Rhinolophus ferrumequinum: one gene and its partner. The protein of the gene in region 1 purifies or fractionates together with the protein of each later gene. This does not show direct contact. Links are inferred from orthologs where the notes say so. Each region holds a gene or a part of one and is shown on either strand. Other genes may lie near its edges.

Region 1 (7,476 bases):
AGCACCAGGATGAAGTCCGTGATGGTCAGCATCCCTGCAGAGTTGAGGGCGGTACAGGAGTGTTGGCCTGGGGCCTTGAGGTGGGAGGCAGGTGGAGGGGGTCATACTCCCCTCCCCCACCCCGCCAGTGTCCTAGTACTGAGACACAGTAGGAATTGTGGGAAGAGGGGAGTAGGGCAGCCTCTTCTGTGCCTGAGACATGGGGTGCTCCCTTTTTCCCTCTAATTCCTTTCCCCCCCTCTGCACATCCATTTCTATTCTCCTAATTTCTTCCGTTCCCTTTCCTCTTTTCCTACTGGCATCTATGACCTGAGACCACTGGGCAGTAGGGCTGGGGGGGCGGGGTCAGCTGGTCACAACTCTTTCACAAACGGGGAAATTGAACACAGAACCACCTCACAAGGTCCCTCCTTTCCCTTCCCCACCACCTCTGCCTCCCAGCCCCTCCTTACCCACAAAGCTCTGCTTCTTGCTGTCCCACAGAGGGGCTGCACGGACACCATTGGCCACCAGGGCAAAGAAGGCCTTTTTGATCTAGGACCAGGGAGAACAGTGGACAGGTAAGTCCCTCGCGGCCCTTCACTGGTCCCCTGTCCCAGCCAGGGTTTCTCGATGGTGCTTTCCTCCACACGAGTAGCCTGCCTTTCTCATGCCGTACGCACACCATACATGACCCTGTTGGGACATTTGCTAAAGAGATAAGGCTGCTGGTGGCCAGAGGCACCGAGCTGACCCCCTCACCAGGCACAGCAGGATGTAACTCGGTGTTTCTATTCAGAAGTCATATATGTACAGACACACATAGCATAATTTTGCTAATCTAAGTACCAGAGGTATAATTATTTACATAACATTTACAAAATATTTTTCTCTAAATACATCTTACATTGACTCATTTTGGCCTCATCCTAGGCAATGCTATCTAAACATGCTGGTTGTATTTTTCTAATACATGTCAAAATAAATGCAAAGCTACGAACATAAATATATGCATTCATATGTCACTAGAATCAAATCATGTCCTGTGGACGACACACATATTATGCTTTGGGAAACATTGCTCTACTATACATGACGACAGGGATGGAGTCATAGGCATTTTGTAGCTCAGCCTAATGGAAGAGCAGGGCCCAGAGCTCATCCTATTTATCTGGTACCGAGAGTCCCCTGTGCTTTGTCCTAAGCCATTCTGCAATGTCTTCCACGTAGTTCAGGGCTCACAAAGTGCTCCCATCTATCCTGGGCTGTCCCAGGAATCCTCCGAAACTTGCAGGGCAAAGCAGGCATTCCTATCCCCATTTTAGAGATGAGACAGGTAAAGTGCTGGACCGAAGATCTCACAGATACTAAGTGTCAGAGCTGTGATGACAGCTGGGGAATGCTCACAGAGAGCAGCAGCCCTCCCGCGCTGGTCTCCGTGGTGCTAAGAAGGAATTCTGGAAGGGGACTTGCAGGGGAGCCTGGCCTGCCAGGGTGTCCTGGAGGGTGTGAGCAGTGGTTGCAGCCCTGCAAGGATGGAGGTGAGCAAAGCCATGGCCTCACCTCCAGCGTGGTGTCGAAGATGACCAGCTTGGAGCTGGTTGCCATGGCATCGTAGCAGGTGTGCTTCTGCATGAAGTGCATGTAGACCTGGGCCTCCGGCTTCTGCAGCTCGTCGTCCCAGCCCTGCCTCGGTAACGGGGCCTGAGGGGACGGGCATGGAGCAGGCCTCTCCTCCACCAGGCCAAGCTCGTACCTGCAGGCTGCTGGGACTGACGACTCTTTGCCCAGTTCCAGATGGTCTGTGCTGGAGCTAGCAGCTGAGGCTGTACACTCAGTGGGGGGGATATCCCACTCTGTTAGTGGGTTGTCCACCCCAGCCAAAGGAGCAGCCTGGGCCAAGGGTGTTTCCTTGGGGAATGTGGCCTCCAGCCCAATGGACTCAGTAGCTGGCCTGGATTGGGGACCTGTTTGGGGGGAGAGGACAGTAATGCCACCTTCCAAAGCACCGTATCATCTGCTGTCCCAGTTTAGCCTCACAGCAGCTTCAGAACGCCTGGGTCTTGTGGGCCCCATTTTGTAGATGAGAAAGCTGAGTCTCAGGGAGTCACACAAGACAATGGCTCTGTCCTGAGTAACCCTTATTGGATTCCTGATTCTTCAATGCAGTTGTCCTTTCCAATGTGGGGAGACTGAGGCTACAAGATGAGGGTAGGGTCTAACATTGTGTAATGAAGGGATCAAGGGCAGAGCCCGGGCCCCAGGCCCTGGGACTCCCCAGTGCCCCCCCTGCCCCTGCCCACCCCCTTACTTCCCCCCCACCCCCCGTCTCACCAGAACTAGCCTTGGCCTCACCTTCATCTTCCCCCAGGCCTGGCAGCTCGTCTTCCTCCACAGCCTCCTGCCTTGTCCATCTTGAGGCCTTGGCCCCCCGTTTCCCACGACTCCTTTTTGAGCTGGTGGTCATGGCCAGTGATGACCATGAAGTGCTATTTCCTTGCTCTAGGAAGCTCATCTCTGGAAGGGGGAATGGGGCCTGTTTGGTTAATAGGGAGTAACATAACAAAATCAATGACAATGTTATTAATAATAATATTTAATATTTGCAAGCTTCCAAAATTTTTTCTCCAACATTTTTCTTATTCAAACCTCATAACAATTTTATAAAGGAGGCATTATTACTATCCCGAGTTTACTAACGAGGGACCTGAGATCAGAGAGGTTAAGCAATTTCCCACAGATCACACAGCCATTAGGTGATAAAATCAGAACTAGGGTCTATGTCCTCTTTCTCTTCTTTTGAAAGAGGAAGGAGGAGGTGAGGAAAAGGAGAAAGAAGAAACAAAGAGGAACAAAGAAAGAAAAGGGGAGGAAGACAAAAGCCAGGCTAGTGGAGTGGGTGAAGTTGGGGGTCCAGAGAGGTGGGGGACAAAGGAAGTGAGAAAAGAGGTTGGGGCCATGGGGGGGAGGCCGTGCCACCTACCTTGATGCTTGGGTCCCAGAGGGCTGCTCCAGGATGGGTTCTGTGGGGAGAAGAGGGTCTGAAGTGGTTGGGAAAATGCCCTCCATTCTGAAACACAGACCCTTCTCTTGCCACCGCGTGACGAGAGCATATACACACACACACCTCACAAACACACACATATATATAGAAACACATAAACACCCACCCCACAAACACATATAAACACACACCCCCGTACCCAAACATTGACACACACTCAAACCATTCCCAGACAAAGAACCACATACTCTCATGTCCACAAAGAATATATACACACAGACACCCATGTGCTCATGTACACAGAGAAAATCCAGGTCAGACACAAACGCGCGCACACACACACACACACACAGCGTGGTTTGCTCTCAGTCCCCTGGCCTCAGCTATCCCAACTCACTGCGTCCCCAGAGCCCCTGTACCCTGCGCAGTTCGGGCTCCATGCGGCCAACCGGACCAACAGAGAGCAAGTGTGCGACGCTGGCTGGGCTGCACTATTCTGGGCCCGGCCTCTGGCACCCTGCCCTCCGGGATCAGATTCTCACTGGGTGTCAGGCAGTGGGGAGGGAGGAATCCACCCACTCAGCAGCCTGGGGGCAGGGTGGGGAGGAAAGGGGCAACCTGGGATCTTGACGTCTGGTCCTGGGCTGCCTCCTGGGTCTCTGCAGACAAGTGGGAAGAACTCTCCCTCCGGCAGGGGAGGTGGCTTGAAACACTATGGGGGCACTGGGGCTAGGAGGAGGTGGGCTTGGAGTCCTGGCTTTCTCCGAGGGCCTCTCTCATCTTTGTCAGATGCCAAAGGAGGATAAAATGGAGGCAGGTTGAGCTTAACTTTCCTCCTTGTACAAACTTCAGTCATGGGTGGTGCTGGAGTTAGAAAGGGCAAGTGGCAGCCAGCTGGGAGGCTAGGGATAAGGGGTTTGAGGGTGGTCCCAGAAGAGGGACGAATATATGGCAATGTCCCCATTTGAGTCCCAGGAGCCTGTTCCTCTCTCTGATGGAGGAGTGGGTGGTTTCAGGCAGTTGGGGAGCTATGATGATCACTTTGAAGGTGTGTGGTGGGCTTGAGAGCTCCAGGCCTGCACTTGTCCACAGAGTGAGAGACACCTGTTTCTACCTGTCGTTTGGAGGTAGGTCCAGGTATGCAGGAGCCCCAGATCCCCAATCCTGTTGTGTGTGTGTGCTGTCCCTACATCTGGTGCCAACAGGATCCCCGCCCAGCTCTGGCGGCTGCCCACCCCCCCTTCTTTGGCATTCCTGGGGCCTGAGTCAGTGTCCAGATCAGGAATGCTGACCCAGCTGCTCTAGCTCCTCTCTCCGCCCTTCCCTTCCTCTCCTCCTTTCAGCTTTTTCCATCTCAGTCTCTGGCCTTGGAACAGCCACTCGGTAATGGATTACTGGATTTCTTTCTGAAATTATTGAACATACTTCCTGTCATCTCTCAAAACCCCTGTCCTACTTGTGGGGAGGGTGGAAGAGAAGAGAGCAGAGAAGGGACTTTGCCCATCCATGTGTGTCTTGGGTAGTACAGGGGGTGAGTGCAGCTCTCCTTCCACGGGATCCCCGTGGCCTCTTCCTGTCTGGTCTCAGAGGACGGAACTTCTAAGGCACAGCTAATGGGACACCTCAAGTGGACCATCCCTGGAGGTGTGCGATGCATTGGACCTGGAAAACCCCCACTCCCTTATGCTCAGGGCCACCTTCACAGCTAAGCCAGAAACAGAACAGGCTCAGCTCATACCATTGCCTTCTCCTGCAGTACTTCATGCTCCTCTCCTCCTCAGACATGGACCACCTACAGGGCCAGTAACGGGCTCCTTTTGAGAAGGCCTGCCCTGATTGCATCACCCTCACTGCATTGGGCTGATACCCAGTGTTCTGTGTACACATCTCAATGTACATTGGGCTGGCATTTATCTATCTATTCATGTGTGAATATCTTTTAAATAAACAGTGGGCACACTGATGACCAAATTTGTTGACTGGATGTGATGGAAAGCCCATTTTGGAGTCAGAGGACCTGTTAAGATGTATGCTGTACTGTTCGTTTGCCATGTGACCTTGGCAGGCATTGTTTGTTTTCTCTGAACCTGTTTCCACACATGTAAAATGAAGATAAAAACATTTGATGGCAGAGACTGCCAGTTGTCTCAGTATCTCTTTTTCTCTTCTTCCTTTAATAATAGAACCACTTGAATTTTCGCTGGAATGTCTGCCTATCATAAAGACAAATTCCCAACCTTCCCTGCAGCTAAACATGGCCTTCTGACTAAATTTGGCCAATGTGATGTGAGTGGCAGTGATGTGAGCAACTTCCAGGTCAGGCCTTAAGAGAAAGAAGCATGAGTTCCTCTCTTCCTTCTCCCCTTCTGCTGCCTGGAATGCGAATGTGACGGCAGGAGATAGTGCAGCTATCTTGTACCCAAGATATAAGATGCTTATTAAGGGATTCAGCGTCACCCTACCAGGTTTGGAATGTCTATAGACTACTATAAGAGAGAGAGAGATAAACTTTATTTTTTAAGTCATTCTTAAATTGGGTCTTTGCTACAACAACGAAACATGTATTCTAACAAATGGCATCAGTTTAGAGACTGGAGAGTAGATAGCAAAGAAAAATACTACATGCTGCTAAGCCGGTGACCATTGTTATATAGTACAGCAAAACATGTGGCATGTCTGTCATCCATGATACCTTGGAAAGTAAAGCGTATGCTAACAGAGCCTGGAAACACTCATGGAAATGCTCAGATTATTGATATACATTGGCTGCTGCTTGCTGCTATTAGCAAAGTCCTACAAGAGAGGTGTACTCAGGCTCGTTATAAGAGGTAGTTTTGGAGAGGCAGGCTTAGCAAGGGCTGAGCCTGTGGTCCCAAACCTTTCTCAAGCACACCCTGTTCAGCAAACAGTGGAAGCCGGCCCAGTGGGCAAAATAAGGAAGTTCTCTTCACCACCAAGCATGTTTTTACTTAGATGCCCTCAAGGTAGCTACCAACATTGGAGAAATAATAGAAAGTCCACCAAATCCAGAGTATTCAAGTATGAAAATAATGACACCATTGTCTGTGGCAACTCAAATACGGAACCGGTCAGAAGCCTTCTAAGATTGTTGAGGGGATTGTATTGGCAAAGAAACCATAAATCTGGTCAGCAAGGCCTGGTTTGACACCTCACCCCATCCCCCCAAAGTTATTCCCACTGCCCCAAATCTGCCGTAGCAAGAAGAGGGTTCTGAAAGTTTTAAGGTCTACAAGAAGGCAGATGTGTTCTCAGGGTAGCCGCAGAGGATACTGGGTAAGGAAAAACTTCCCAGAGGCCACAGAGGAGAGGAGAAAAGGGAGATCCTCCCAGAGAGCAGAAGCAGGGGTGGCCAGATGCACTGCCCAAGAATTTACCCCACTGTGGGGAAGAGGCTTTGCAATCCCTGCCCAACCGGATTTAGTAACGGTTAAGATCTAGTGACTGCCAGGTGTTTGCCATTCTTCCCTGAGGGGTGGTTTTAATTGAGTTTATCTTGTTCCTCTCCCACTGTTGTCTATGGGGAATAAGAGGGCCAGATTACCTGCCTTTTGGTTTACAGGTACTAGACCATGTACCTGTTCTATCCACACCTGGTCTGGATAGAACACTGCCTTGCTTCCCTTTGAGGGGTGCTAAATGTGCCCTTTGTAAGGAAGGGGTGGACAGATGTTGGGCTCTAGCAGCACAATATCTATTTTCCCCTTCTTCTACTAGTGAATCGCCACAATTTTAGCTAAGGGCAAGGTGTATTTCCCAGCTTCCTTTGCAGACAGGGTGGCTATGTGACTAAGCTTGGCCAATGGGATCTGAGCAGCAATGTTATACGCATGCTTTAAGGGTGTCCTTAGAAGAAAAGGGTTGATTTCTCCCTTCCTATTGACTGGAATTATGATTTGATGGTGGGAGCTGCAGTAGCCATTGGAACCTAATGGCGGAAGATGCAGGTTGAATATGATAGACCCTCCCCAATCCCATGCTGACCTGTCTACCTCTGGACTGTTATAAGGAGAAATAAACCTCTATCTTGTTTAAGCCACTCGCAAATGGAAACTTTGTTACAGCAGCCAAGCCCCTCTTTAACTAATGCATTTACATTGCGGGATTGGGGTAGGGTTAGATATGACGAGTGTGTGCACATATCAGGATGCGTCACATTTATGCAGTGCTTAATATCTACCAGACACTGCAAAACACATCGTGTGCAGTATCCCATGTGATCCCTCACAACCCTATGTGGAAATACTTTTATTATTATAATTTCACAGATGAGAAAATCAGGTCACAAAGAGATTAGGTAACTTGATCAAAATCTCAAAGCTAGTAAGATGGAGCTGAATTAAAACTGTGTTTCTAGGGGGCTGGCCCGGTGGCTCAGGCGGTTAGAGCTCCATGTTCCTAACTCCGAAGGCTGCTGGTTCGATTCCCACATGGGCCAGTGGGCTCTCAACCACAAGGTTGCCAGTTCAATTCCT
Region 2 (6,943 bases), on another chromosome or scaffold:
CAGTCCACTCCTTCCCAAAAATTAAATTTCCTCTAAGCGTGGACTATTACATTGGGAATTTTTCTGTATTGCATTATCACATCTAGATTTCTTTTCTATGATTAATTCACCAATATATTTAGTTTTAAAAGCTCTATCTACTCCAAATTGTCTCCATTGAAATATATGGCTAATCATATTAGTCATAAAAATTCTTACCAAATTAAGGCCAGTGTAAGATACCAATGTCACCAGTAAACTAGCTAATTTTGTCTGCTCACTGAGCATCTATGTACCCGTCTCTCTCCTAATAATTAATACCCATTTCTGTGTAGGTATCTATCCTGTCCCCTCACACCATCCAAGTACCTCAGAAGAAGATGCCCTTAATAATACTGAATGTCAACTGCAACTGAAAAATAATTTTTTTTAAATGCCCTCCCCCCAACACACACACACATATATCCAAGAGTGGGCCATATTCCCCCAAGGGTAATTCCATCTCCCTTGCTAGGGCCTACTTAGGAACACAGGCCTAAGCCATTGGCACAAGGCATCCCAGGCCAGAGGGACTGGATAAACCAACAAGACTCATGAGAGGTACGCTGGGACTTCCTTGCTCTGGAGAGAACCAAGGGAAGAGATTTTCTTGGCTAGGTTGAGTTGGATTTTCTATTACGTGGGGCAAAAAGCATCCTACCTATTTAACAACTTAAAAAATGCACTGGTTGAGGATTTTGACCGACATCAACTAATGTATTTATGAACAAATTGAACCATACCTACGAAACCTATGATCCTTTGACTACTGTTGTCCTTGCTACATTTGGAGAGGTTGCTGACTTTGACAGTGTGTGGGACACTTCAACAGAGGCACATGTGGAGGAGTGAAGGTTAAGGAACAGCGGTCACTGGAGGGATTCATGTCAAAGCCACATCACAGATCAAATCCAGAAAACAAAAAAATTTCCTCTTGCTTTCCTATCTGCCATGCCAAAAGCCACCTAGCAAAAAAGAAAATGAGACCTGACTCTGCTCAGATCTGTATTAGGAGAATGATGAGCATCCTAATCCAAGCAGAACTCTGGGAGGGGTGGACATCAAGATTGTCATCACTATGTTGCGGGCATTAATGAGCATTTCTTACAAATACCGTGTTTCCCCAAAAGTAAGATCTAGCTGGACAATCAGCTCTAATGCGTCTTTTGGAGCAAAAATTAATGTAAGACCCAGTATTACATTACATTAAAGACCTTTATAATATATATTATAGTGTTATACCTTTATATAATATGTTTTATCTTTATAATATATAAATACATTATATATCTTTATTATATAACATAATATAATATAATATAATACCGGGTCTTATATTAATTTTAACTCCAAAAGATGCATTAGAGCTGCTTGTCCAGCTAGGTCTTATTTTGGGGGAAACACAGTACCTACTTGTAAATTAAAAGAAAAGTTTGGAAACGCTAACATAAAAATAGAGACAGCACAGCCAAAATAAGTAACTTCAAGGACACAGAAACATCTTCCTGACCTAATACAGACCCACCCTAATGGTTGTGATTACCCTATTCTGGCATTTGCTTCTTACTTTCTTACATTGTAGGCCTTGCTGATTTTTCACAAGGTTTAGGCAGTTGCTTCCTGTGAGCTATACAGCAATTTTCCAGTTCTATGACTCAGAAAGGACAAGAGAAGGAAGGGTTCTCCTCTTCCATCCCTAGATAAAATCAGAAAATGTTTATTTAGCTCTGGTAGAGCAAGACTAATTTAATTCACTGTACAGATTTTCACAAACTTTTTTTTCTTTTAAGTATTTACCTAGCGCTTAGTATAGTCAAGTCACACACTATTATTTATTCAAAGCCTTTCCATGAATTATTATCAGCTCCGTATTTCCTTCCTTTGCATCATCCCTAATAAAAAAGTCAAATACCTAAAAAAATTATGCGTCACAAAGTTTGCAATTAAACCTGTGCCACAATTGGTAGATTGGAGCAAGTTTGCTATTTTCAAATACCGTGTTGAAACACAAGGGTAAGAGAGTCCACACTTTTCTTAAAAAAAAAAAAAAAAATCAAACGATGTGCACTAAATTGTTCATTAAAATATAAATACCCCGTGAAAACACATGGAAAGGAGCTGCATTAATGAACTAATATACTATCTGGAGGCAACATCTGCACTAACTACCGGGTTTGGCATACAGACTGCAAAACTGGTAATTCAGACACACTAAAGGCACGGAGTCTGCATTCTGAATATAAACCATGCATCACAAGTATTGGACCAGTTTATGTTCATTAACTGCTCCGAAAAAAATTAGTTATCCTTTCCGACAAGATGGCTTTTTTTTTCTTTTTTTTTAAATGATTCTCTAAGCTACCCCGAGACTTTGGTGCTAACAGATTTCACACTGGAGAATCAGCCTGAACAGGTGAGTAGACAGCCTTTCTAAAGAGGACAGAAATAAGGACAATGCTAAAGAATGCCAGGGAACCGATGGGCTGGTCCTGAGCGGAGGGAGAACAGCCTCTGTTCCCCGGGGCTCTGGGAGGAGACCCCGACGCCCCCACCCAGCACTCGGAGCGCGCCGCGCAGCCCCCGACCGCCCACCTGAGAAAGTTCGCACCTCCGCATCCCCGCCCCTCGCACGGACCAGCCCCTGGCGCCGCCGTCGCCATGGTGACCGGTCCCCACCCCACCCCCACCCGGCCCGGGAGGGCCGCGCCGCAGCCCGGCGGCCGCGTTGGGCTCCGCTCCCGCCGGCGGGAGGACCGGGGCTGCGGAGCCCGAGACGAGGAACGCAGGGGCCGGGGGAGGATGAAGAGGTGTGAAAAGCGGAAGTCGCCTGGGTCCTGGGATTGGGCCGTGGCTTGCCCCGGGGGTCCTCACCCTTCACTTTGCCGAAGGTGCCGACTCCCAGCGTGTCCCCCAGGATGTAGTGGCCGATCTTCACCCGCCCGTCGTGTTTCTGCTTCTCGGTTGTCGCCATCTTTCTCCAGGAACTGAGTCTGCGCATGGCGCCGCGGGAGGGGGGCGGAGGGGGCGGGCAGGGCCGCGCCGGGGGCGGGCGGGCGGCCGGGCGGGGAGGGGGTGGGGACGCGGGAGGGCAGCCGCGCCGCGGAGCCGCCGCCCTGCGCAGCCCGCGGAGGCCCCGCCGCCCGCCGTCGGGCGCAGACGCTCCCCCTGGCGGGGCGGGAGGGGGTCGCTAGGAGGGGCACCGGTGTCCCCTTCCTCGCCCTGCATCCCTTCGGCCTGGGGCGCCCGCCCACCTGCGCGGCAGCCCCCTGGCTCCTTTCCTCTCTGCGTCTAAGTGTTACTCTGGGTGGGGGAGCCGCTCTCCTTGTGATTCCAAGCGGGAAGATGGGCACGGGGAAGCCCGCTTGGGTAGGGCAGATGGACGGCTTGTTACTCGTGCAGCGCGAATTGGAACCTGGTTGGAGATACCGCACTGCCACTGTCGTCAAACCTTTTGGTTTTCCCTTCGCGGTGGGATCTAGAAACCTTTGGGAGTTGTCACTTGCATCTTTGATAGTTTCCATCGCCTCCTGTCTTCCCTCCCTCCCGGTCTCCAGCGTCTCTTTTTATTTTTACTGTGAACCAGAAGTTGTTACTATTGGGCACCTGGACAGCTCAAGTAACGTTGCCGGTCTCTCTTCCTGCTGGACGCTTTCCTGAAATTTCCTCCCCAAAGCAAACTCTGTCGGAAGGAACAGGTTAGGGATACGTATTTGTGTTCGGGGCCTGAGATGTATAGGAATTACTATTTTAGATTATCAGTAAAATACAGAGTTGAACTGAACTGAAAACAAGGATTACTGTTGCATCAACCAGATCAGTTGACAAATATTTATTGTACTAGAAATGAGTAAGATTTAGTCTATTATCAATACAAATGGGATCACGCCATATCAGAGGGGAAGTTGAGAAAGTATACTTATTTGTAATAGAATTTTTAAGTGAGTTTGTTAGTCAATTATAATCCCCTAACATGGACAAAAATCAAGTGCCCCCCCCAAAAAAAACAACAACAACAGTTTATAGGATCTCAATTTTGCAGTGTCATAGCATTTGGGCTAGTGTCAGGCAGAGTTGAACTCATCATGAAAATAGTATAAAAAGTAAAAGACTAAAAATATCACCTTTTTTTCTAGTGAAAGTTACCCAACTCTCCTGATTTTTATATACTTTCTGTTTATGACATCAAAGTACCATGTTTTAACTGCTTTGATCCAAGCAAGGTGCTGCAGGAGAAGCAAAAGCATTTGAGTTTAGAATTACATAAAATAAGCAGAGAACAGTTACAACTCTCCTTGGGTAGATCATCAGTTCCTACTCTACTATGAACAGCACATATTTTGAAGGGCAAAAATGTTAAGAAATCTTTGATGTGAGATTTGGGGCGGGGGAGGGGTGGGCAGGCAGTGGTTACTGTTGTAATTTTTGCTTTCTGGTTTCTTCACCTTTACCCATTTGCCTTGAGAGTTTCTGCAGCTCAGGCTCTTTGGATAGCTACAAAGCAGAAAGAGATCTCTGGATTCTCTTAGAGGAAAAAACTTTTAAGTTTTCCCACCAGAAATAGCATCTTAAATTAACTTTAAATTTGCATCATGTCTAGAATTTAGCCCAGCAAGTTTCTGTTATTTCTTTTAACCTAAAAGGGAAAAAAAAAAAGGTATCTCAGCTCTATAGGGTGCCAATTAAGCCACAGAGCATCTTACCAGGGAGCAAATTGAAGTTGAATTTTGAAAACCCACTGCCAATATCTTTATGAAACTTTGAAGACCCAATTAAGAAAGTAATATAGACTATATTTTAGCAGAAACATCAGTTTGTTTCTGCTTTTGTATTATTTTAGATTATAATTCTATTTAATAAATATTCATTAAATACCACTATTTACTCAAAAGCATTGTTGGGGGAAACAAAACCTAAAATCATAGATCAAAGAATTGAATAGGAACTTAGAAGCCATCTTATCCAATCTCCCATAGTCTGTTTAAGCAACTTTTATTGCTGTTTCTTTTTTCTTATGTTGTGTTCAAAACTGAATCCGGTTAACAGTTTCTAAGAAAGTAATGAGCTGCCTTTAATCCTTTGCTTTATCTCTTTCCTTCATTCTTTTTTAAAAATTGTTGTCACATTTTCTTCCACTCTCTCTTCCTTTAATTCTCCCATTGATCCATTGTCTAGACCTTCATTTCCTTCTTTTCTCCCAGCATCTGTTAACCTCCAGACACTGTGGACAGATAGAAAATGAAAAGTCATGTTCCTTACCCTGGAGGAGCTCATAATCTGGGATGGCAGTTCCCCCTCCCCTCCCCAAGGATAGATAATATTCACATGTTCAACATTTTCCAGGGTAAAAGCAAAGATAAGGTAGACTGGCTTACACCCAGTTTCAGGACCCATCAGTTGCAGCTTTGCCACTATCGAAGCAAAGTATATTGGAATGTAAGTGGGCAGGAGTGACATTATAGAAGTAGCCTTGAATCTACTCGAGTTTAAGAGGAGGGGAAAAAGTAGTTTTCATACTTCAGTACTTCAGCTTTTATTAGCACAAATAAGTTGCAGTACATCACAGTGCTGATGAAGACTACCAACCAGGTGGACCCATCGCTGGTGGAGAACCTCCGGTCTCGGAGGAGCATTAGTTACTTGTCAGCTGCTTGCTCTGTAGCCCTTCAGAGATTCTAAGGGAGATGTGAGTCCTTAGTCTTTTCTTAAGACTGTCACAGTGTTAGTAGACCCTGCACTGTCAAGTGGATATTACACTTCCTCAATGCCTATCTCTAAACATGGTGTCCAGAACTAAAAATTCTGAGAACTACACTGCTTTTAATGCAGCCTAATATTTCCTTAGCTTAGTTGTCATTACATTGTAACTAATATTTATTGAACAACAACCAGGTAGGCATTAGGCAGTTTGCTCGACTCTGAGGACTCAAAAAGCAAAGGTTCACAGTATCTGCCTCCAACAAGGCAAAGCAATATCATAGGTGCTATAATAAAAATATATATGTATGGTCCTAAAAGGGCATTATGAGAGGAGGGCATAACCTTTATCAGTGGAGGTCCACAAAAGTTTGAACTTGAATCCATTTAAGGGAGTATTTAGACATGGTGCTTTGTACTCAAGGAAAAACGTGGTATGGGGTATCGGGGAACTTGGAGGAAGCATCCCAAGTAAGGGGACCAACATATGCAAAATCACAGGGAAGGAAGTCTTAGGCTTTGTGGAGAAGAGCAAGTGGTTACAGGGGATGAAATCTGGATGTACACAGCGACTCCTTAGAAGAAAGGAGAGGTAAACAGAACTAAATCCTGAAAGGCCTCATGTGCGCTTCTCAATTTGGTCATTATCTTACAGTGATGAGCCATGGGAGGATGTGAAGTCAATGCATTTTAGAAATACATTCTTTACCAAAGAAACTGATGGCTATTGGTGCCTTTAGCAAGGGAACCTGGGTGACTAAGTCCAGCACAAGGGGCAGACTTTCCTGTGTATCCTTTTGCAACTTTTTGTTTTCAAACCTTATGAATATATTACAGAGTCAAAAAAAATTAACTTTAAAAAAATATATTTTTAAACTCACTTTGTATGGAAGATATACTGGAGAAGAGCAAGACCAAAGTGGTGGTAAAACAGGAGACTTGCAATCATCGAGTGAAGAAATGAGGAGGCAAGCACCACGTATGAAAAGGAAAAACTCTAGGAGTATTTAGAAGTGGAATTAGCGAGGTACAGAGATTGATGTGGACAGAGAGAGAAAGGAAGAAATCTTAATTACCTCCTAGGATTCTGGAGAGATTGTTGGAAGGATGGGAAATAGAGGGGTTCAATAGAAATAATGAATCCATTCATAACGTTAGGGCATCTAAGAGACATTCAGGTAAGGATATCCAGGAATATACTCCAAAAAACCGTCAGTCTAGAGATACACAT

What was found. Proteins that work in one complex are often made in the same cells at the same time.
Region 2: the proteins of PRKAG3 (region 1) and PRKAA1 purify together in Homo sapiens (affinity purification with mass spectrometry; 3 studies listed by BioGRID and IntAct, counting the BioPlex papers as one, with this or other methods). This does not show direct contact. The link is inferred for Rhinolophus ferrumequinum from reciprocal best matches to the Homo sapiens genes PRKAG3 and PRKAA1.

What each region holds. Positions count from the first base shown.
Region 1 is NC_046291.1:16,561,838-16,569,313, reverse strand, and holds the start of PRKAG3 (5'-AMP-activated protein kinase subunit gamma-3), read right to left. Parts: upstream 3,066-7,476; 5' UTR 2,963-3,065; intron 2,516-2,962; exon of another isoform or gene 2,497-2,515; 5' UTR 2,495-2,496; coding exon 2,335-2,494; intron 1,947-2,334; coding exon 1,543-1,946; intron 535-1,542; coding exon 453-534; intron 35-452; coding exon 1-34. UniProt on the Homo sapiens protein: AMP/ATP-binding subunit of AMP-activated protein kinase (AMPK), an energy sensor protein kinase that plays a key role in regulating cellular energy metabolism.
Region 2 is NC_046290.1:27,139,472-27,146,414, forward strand, and holds the start of PRKAA1 (5'-AMP-activated protein kinase catalytic subunit alpha-1), read right to left. Parts: upstream 3,017-6,943; coding exon 2,890-3,016; intron 1,715-2,889; exon of another isoform or gene 1,594-1,714; intron 1-1,593. UniProt on the Homo sapiens protein: Catalytic subunit of AMP-activated protein kinase (AMPK), an energy sensor protein kinase that plays a key role in regulating cellular energy metabolism.